Daphnia pulex: one gene and its partner. The protein of the gene in region 2 binds, or shares a complex with, the protein of the main gene of each other region. Links are inferred from orthologs where the notes say so. Each region holds a gene or a part of one and is shown on either strand. Other genes may lie near its edges.

Region 1 (3,034 bases), on a different chromosome or scaffold from region 2:
GCGAGAAATGCCGGCGCCTCCCCAAACCCATCCAAATATGAACATGGGAATGTCTGTCCCTGGCTACCAATATCCTGGCGCAAACGTTGCACCCATTGGGCCTGTCGGAGGCATGAATGTATCCGGGAACATGAAGTACCCTTTTCCTCAACCTCAAGCACCTCCACAGAGTCCTTCTTTAGCTCCATTTGCTCCACCTGTTAGCCATTCTGCTACATTTCCTCCTAATCAAGTCCCCAATCCAATGCCTTATGGAGTGGTTAATATGGGCCAACAACCTTTTGTTAACCCATATTCTGGCCATCCTCAGAATTTCTAATTTGTATTCTAGCTGCGCAATTGTACAGTTACAATTTCATTCTCCTTGTTGTAACCCCCTTTCTCCTTAGAGTTCAATTCTTCCAACGTTTCGGTTGTTAAATGTCTTACAATTTCATCATCCTTTACCTACAACCTCATTTAGTTACTCTACGTTGGTTAAAACAATAAATTTCGCAGAACTTTCCGTTTGATGCCCTTAAAGCTGTTATTTTTTATTTCCACAAGTTACGCAATAGTAATTGCAGATTTCTCAGTGATGTTGCTTGAAACAATTTAAATCTTGTTAAAGGCAGCAATATCAACAGACTGGACTAAATCTTCAATTTCTTGGATAGTTTCAGTCAGCCAGTCAACAGACACTTTATCATCTTCGACGACTGTGGAAATCTGGAGTTTCTTGATTCCATATGCCAGTGGAACCAACTTGGCTGCAAATTAAATAAAAGTTAAACATTGCAGAGGATAGTGTCGAAACTGACTAATTTGACTTACAAGTGCCCCAAAGGAGGCCATCGGACGTAATTTCACGCACACGACGCTCCATTTCAGCCATATCGGTTTCGTCATCCCACGGTTTAACATCCAAAATGATGTTGGATTTGGCAATCAGAGCAGGTTCTGTTAGGGAATATGAAAAATAAATGTAGTAAGATACAATTATTATGAAATGGACAATTCTATTACTTGTAGATTTTTTAGCAGCATATGCTGCAACACGTTCCTGTTTGATTCTTTCAGCATCCTCATCTTCTTCATCAGATCCAAACAGATCAACATCATCATCGTCATCATCATCAGGTTTTGCTGCTGCTTTAGCTGGAGGTGCTGGTTGAGGAGCACTAGGTTTTGGTGCTTGAACTGCTGCTCCAGGTTTCGAGCTTTCCAAACTCTTGACCCTGGACTCCAAACTCAGCACCAATGAACGGAGATCATCGGTAACTTTTTTCAAATCTTTATTTTCCTGCTCCAGTTGTTGGAGTCGACTGGTCACATTAGATGGAATGGCAGAACCAGAGGAAGGTAAATCCTCAACCTGTACATGAAATCAATTTCAATTTTCTATTACCATGTTAAAAATAGTTGAACTTACAGCAGCAAGTGAGCTTTTAATCTGATCCCTGGCTTTCATTATTTCAGCAACAACTGAACAGGATGCTGGTCCTGTTGAACCCTGAATTTGATGATTCAAACATTTAAGAAATATTCAACTAAAAGGTAAAATTAACATACCTTTGCCAAGATTTCTTGGAACTGACGTTCCGCATCTTCATAACGAAACTTCTCATACCAGACTGTTTCGCGAGACAATGCTTCATTTACAGCGCTGTTCACCATTTTTAATCTAAAATATACGAAAATAAGGCATATAAATGAATAAACGAAACATTTTCTTCTTTGATTTCTAGTCACCTGTTATACAATGGAGCAAGATCGAACGTTCAGTAACCAAGAGGGGTGACAGCTGAGCAGAACAGTGAGCAGTGAGCAGTTAGGTGAGCAGAATGAGCTCCACGTTGAGGCAGGAAAACAACGATGCCAAGCTGTAATTTTTTATTGAGAGTTGTATTTGTATCTTTCTGCTTTTCTAATTTAAAAAATGATTGACAACAGGGTTCAACATTTCAATTAATCAGTAATATTTAAAAAAAAAAAAAATTATTAAAATATACAATACAGTGCAGATATATAAAGCGAAAATTGCCCGCGAAAATTGTTATTACTCAAACTGAAACATGGTGTATACGTACAGACTACAGCTACAGCGGCTACAGCCAGAGTCTTCCTGGATTACTCTGCTACAGCATAGATAATCGGCATGGATACCGGTACCAGCATAATCGCCAGTGTCTGATCTAGAAGTCCATAATTTCCGGGGGCTTCCTTGTCTTCCGTACGGTACTCAAGAAACCTGATTTTTGCATGTGGCATGTGGGGCCTTCCTTGGTCGCATCAAACATACGTTCCGTGTTCCGTCCAAGGTTTTAGCCGCGATTGGGTCCTGAAAAATGTAACCGAAGGTTTAAAAAAAAATTAGCAAAATATCTTTTTTTTTATTGCAAATTTGAAATTTCACAAAGATAATTTAAAAGTTAATGCGATGATTCAGCGTATATACTATGAATGATATTAAATTACAATTAAATGTTTATTGCATATAGGGTGGCAAATATATCTACTGGAATGGGAGCACATCCGGCGACTTCGAGTACGGCTGGGTTCGCTTCCTTCAACACTTGTTCACCTACACGTTCCACGACCTGGTTTTCGGCTGCCGCTTGAACCGGACCAGCGGCAAGGTCATCACGGCAAACCAATGCGGTTTCTCCAAAATCGAGCAGCAACGGATCAGGACCCCGCTGAAGAAAGGATTCCACTCTTTACTCTTTGAACATTATCGTCGCGGCCGTTGTTATCGGGATCGCTACGAAATAAGACTTTGAATTTGAATATAACCAACGATACTATTATGAATTTGGAATTGAGAATGATTTCAAAAAATAAGAAATAATAGGATTATATAGTCATTATATTAGGCGTTGCTGCTGGACATAGGCCTACCATCATACCATAGCACACCGAATAACGGCCGAATAAGGAATAACATGTCAAACGCATTATGTAAAATGGATATAAAAATATAACAAATATATAATTTTTATTTAATTTTCTTTGACCCGTGTTACACATAACTGATTACGAAAAAAAAATCCGC
Region 2 (4,013 bases):
TGTCAACATGATCACAGCTCGTCTTAATGACCAAGCGAACCAATAAACACTTTGTAGCTGGGCTTAGAGCTTGGATCACTTGAGTATAAAATAGTTAGCCAAATTGTTGGTGTAATCGAGCACTAGAGGCACTACTGTTGATTATTCCTATTTCGCCTGTGAAATCGATCCATCAGCTTGGAAAGTCGGAGAACCTGGTGCTCTGTTGTATGTTAATCCGCCTTTTTTTGTAAAAAGCTTTTGTGCACCATTTTCTCGTTCATAACAAATTCTAAATTTTGTTTGATAATTGGTATACCAAACCACGCAAATTATTGTTCAAAACGCTTTGAGATGTATAAATACTGCTTTGAAGTTATTAACATGAGCGTGACTTGCAACTCATCAAAGGGGAGTGTAATAAAATGGTCTGTGACCCCAATGGAGAATCAAAGAGGGGATTAAGCAATATATTCTTAAATCAGCAAGCTAAAACAATTTAATGTAAGTCTGAATGAACTCCAACATATCAAGTAGCTCATCAGTTGTATTGATAATGGTTGTGATACAACACTCCACGAGTATAGATACCAAACTACTTGAAAATCTTTCCCTGGTTGAAAGGACGACCATTTTTATCAGTGCCGGACCAGGCAAAATACTCCGCCACCATCTTCTTGGTTTCATCTGAATCAGGGTTCAATTTCTTCCAGTCGTATGTCTCGTAGTCAATCTGCCAATCAGGACACAACTAAACAAAAAATATTGTTAAAACTTAGATCCATTACTTCAAGCAAAGCTAAGCTTAAAAACAGGTAAGTCTTATTACTTTCCCTCTACTTGTTACACAAAATATCGAAAACAAAAAATATTTGTGTCTTTGAAAGAGGTAACATCATTGTAAACCATCTTACCTGGAAAGCTAAATCTTGCCCACGCCACACCCAAATTCCTGAAATGGTACAATCATTGTCTGTTCCAAATAAGCACATGGATGCAAAGCATTGTTTCCTCATTTTATCCAAACGTTGATACATGCCTATTAAAAAATGTGAATATTATGGGATTTCTTCTTTGAAAACAAAAAAAAAAAAAAAAAATTGTGGAATATACCAGAGATTAAATTGCAAGACATGAAGACTTTGGTAAGTTCATCAGAGTATTTGTACTCTCCAAACCAGATAGAATAATTTTCCTTGTCGAATTTGTCCCAGAAATAAGGGATGGATTTTGACTCTTCATTGTTAGAATAAAATCTTTTGAAATCATCCATGTTGAATGTTCCTTTGGGCATTTCATCAAATGGATCCTTGGACTTGGGTTCCTCTAATAGGGCTGCATCAGCTGCATCCATTTCCTCAGCCTCTTCTGGCTCTTCCTTCTTTGGCTTTGGTTTCTCTTCTTTTTTCTCTTTCTTCTTTTCATCCTTGACAGATTTCTTTTCTTCCTTTTTCAGAGATCCAGTTATTTTACCTGTTGACACATTGGATAAAAATGGCAATGAATTAAATGTTTAGAATTTTCTTACTCTGAAATTCAGCAAACTTCTTGGGATCAACTGGACACTCTTTCTGGCATATCTTAAAGTCTCCAATGATGGCTTTGAATTGTGGTTGGTTAACACAAGTAATAAACCATCTATTCAAATTTTGATAAGGCTTCCTGTTAGTTTCATCACAAATGCTCTCATAAAGGTGGAGAAGATTGCTAGAAAGAACAATATCTGCAAGAGTTATTTTCTCTCCAACCAAAAAGGTGCGTGTAAGAAGGTGGTTGTTGACGACAGACAAAATAGCCTTCAATTCTTCTTTAGCATGTTCAACAGCCTATACAAACAATACACCAATTAACATTGTACATATAAAATTAGCTTTGCACAAATAAACTAAAATAAGAAACATACTTGTTTGTTGTACTGAATGATTCCAAGGACAGGGAAAACAATAGTACAGGACAGTGGAAGAATTTCACTGTCGGCAAATGACATCCACTGAAGGACTTGGGCCTTTTCCACGTCACTGTTTCCTCGAAGCTGCTGGTTGGCAACTGTTCAATAACACTCATTACATCTCAATTCCAGAGGAATACTATTTTAGTAGTAATATTTACCGAAATATGCAATTGCATTGCTCTCAGCAATGCACTGCCCATCTTGGGATTCAAAAGCTGGAACCTATCAATACAATCACATAGACTTAAAACTTTCCACCATGAAAATGAACCGCATAAAGAAAATTACCTTTCCCAACGGAAATTTCTTCAAAAAAGTTTCACTCTTGTTGGTCTCGCCGAAGACGAAGTTGGAAGCGACATTTATTTTGAAACCAGAGTATTGAGCAGCAATCAAAGCCTTATTGGCCCTGAAGTTGCTTGGGTAAGTGTACAAAGTCTAAAATTAAAAAAACCCGATTAATTAGATATTGGACAACAGAATCACGCTTTAAAACACAAGAAGATGTCACGGAATTTCTTAGATTCAAACACAGATCGTACTTACTCCAGAAGCCATGATGATCAAATGCAGGGACGAGAACCTGACGTGGAACCAAGAAGAAGTCTGCTGCAAGAGAGAACGAGCTCAAACGTGAGAATAGTTGAAAATTTCTACATGGCAACGCTGTTAAGCGCGCAGCCCTTTGTTGGTCTGCCTTGCGGGCCACTCTTGCAGAGTTGCAGTTAGGATGTGGAAAGTGGAATGTGGAATGTGGAAGTGGAATGTGGAGGTGGAAAGTGGATACTTAAAACGGAATAGAGCTAGAACTTTAAAATGCAAACACTAGAATGCGACACTAGAATCGCCGCTAGACCGACCTGGAACCGACGGAACAGAACTATGGTTTTTTTACGTTTACTCATGCTCTTCTTGTCTTCTAGAGATCAAAGGCTACCTGACTTCTATAGGCTGCCGGTCGTGCCACGACATCTTTGGGGAGAAACTGAGAATCCATGAAAGCATCAACTGTCTTAGCAGCACTTAGCAGGAAGGTGTACTTCGGTAGTTCGGTCTCGGTGGTACTTCGGTACTTCGGTAGTCGGTACTTCATGGACTTAGCACGAAGACAAGAAGTGTATCAAGCTCAAACTGTGTTAAAAAGAACAGTTTTACGCGAGTCAAGAAAGGACTTCAAACCAAACAATTCAAATATTTTCAAATAATTAACTCAGTGCATTCATCTGAAGTCGGAGCGTTAGTGTAGAAAGTAAACAAAATGCCCGCCATTGTTTTAGAAAAGCCGAAACTCAGCAGACCTATGTGGAATTCATTAAAATCACACATAATCAGAGAGAGACAAAGGAAAAAGCAAGGTTGTTATGATGAAGCTCCACAATAATTGTGTTAATGTTTCAATTGTGCTCTGTAACTCATTTACTCTTAAACAGAACAAGAAGCTGATGCTGAGGTCGAGCGACAGCGAAGAGAAAGAGAAGATCAGCAAAAAGAACAAGAGATGACTTTAGAAGAAACTAAGGAACAAGTTGCTCAGTCAGAATCCAGGCTTTCTCAACTGAAAGAGGATAAGCATCAATTATTTCTGCAACTCAAAAAAGTTCTAAATGAGGATGATACGAGAAGAAAAATCAAAGAATCCAGTTTCAAGTATGCTATCTATTTTTTCTTTTAAAATTCATTCTTAGCATAGAATAAGAAGACAATATTCATGCTGAAATATCCTAGGAAGTGTGTAAATAGTAAATGGACACTAAAAGTTTAATTTGGTAAAATTTTCCCTACCAGTGTTCATATCAAGAGTGATCAATATCCTATGAAATTTTTGTCCATATGAATTAGATTAGAAACTCAAATATTTTTCATTAGCAGTGATATGATGCTGTTTCATCCCTATCCATCTGGAGCTCCATTAGTGCATCCAAACACCCATGGTTCTGTGTACATGCATCCTAATCTTGGGGCTTCAAGGCCAGTATTTAATGGAGGGAAGGAAGAAAGCATTTTGAATTTGCAAGGAGTGCCTCCTTCATCACTTTATGGACAAGCAATCAATATGGTTCCTTCTCTTGGACATCAAAGTCAA

The links. Proteins that work in one complex are often made in the same cells at the same time.
Region 1: the proteins of elongation factor 1-gamma-like (region 2) and elongation factor 1-delta-like are in contact, whole or in part, in a crystal structure (PDB 5JPO), measured with the Homo sapiens proteins. The link is inferred for Daphnia pulex from reciprocal best matches to the Homo sapiens genes EEF1G and EEF1D. Residues at the interface, in NP_001395.1 of Homo sapiens: Tyr9, Trp13, Arg14, Phe40, Gly41, Asn44, Gly56, Lys57, Val58, Ser104, Val107, Pro108, Ser111, Thr112, Phe115, Ile120, Met121, His123, Asn130, Glu134; in NP_001123527.1 of Homo sapiens: Ala2, Asn4, Phe5, Leu6, His8, Glu9, Ile11, Trp12, Phe13, Lys15, Phe16.

What each region holds. Positions count from the first base shown.
Region 1 is NC_060024.1:3,942,244-3,945,277, reverse strand, and holds elongation factor 1-delta-like, read right to left. Parts: upstream 1,874-3,034; 5' UTR 1,732-1,873; intron 1,664-1,731; 5' UTR 1,657-1,663; coding exon 1,552-1,656; intron 1,493-1,551; coding exon 1,412-1,492; intron 1,355-1,411; coding exon 1,006-1,354; intron 940-1,005; coding exon 814-939; intron 750-813; coding exon 595-749; 3' UTR 508-594; downstream 1-507. Other genes in the region: signal transducing adapter molecule 1-like, read left to right, coding at 1-319.
Region 2 is NC_060020.1:8,828,904-8,832,916, reverse strand, and holds elongation factor 1-gamma-like, read right to left. Parts: upstream 2,772-4,013; 5' UTR 2,489-2,771; coding exon 2,477-2,488; intron 2,369-2,476; coding exon 2,219-2,368; intron 2,153-2,218; coding exon 2,089-2,152; intron 2,026-2,088; coding exon 1,883-2,025; intron 1,806-1,882; coding exon 1,508-1,805; exon of another isoform or gene 1,453-1,507; coding exon 1,093-1,452; exon of another isoform or gene 1,019-1,092; coding exon 894-1,018; exon of another isoform or gene 867-893; intron 795-866; exon of another isoform or gene 731-794; coding exon 575-730; 3' UTR 509-574; downstream 1-508. Other genes in the region: uncharacterized protein LOC124193185, read left to right, coding at 3,189-3,285, 3,361-3,577, 3,797-4,013. UniProt on the Homo sapiens protein: Probably plays a role in anchoring the complex to other cellular components.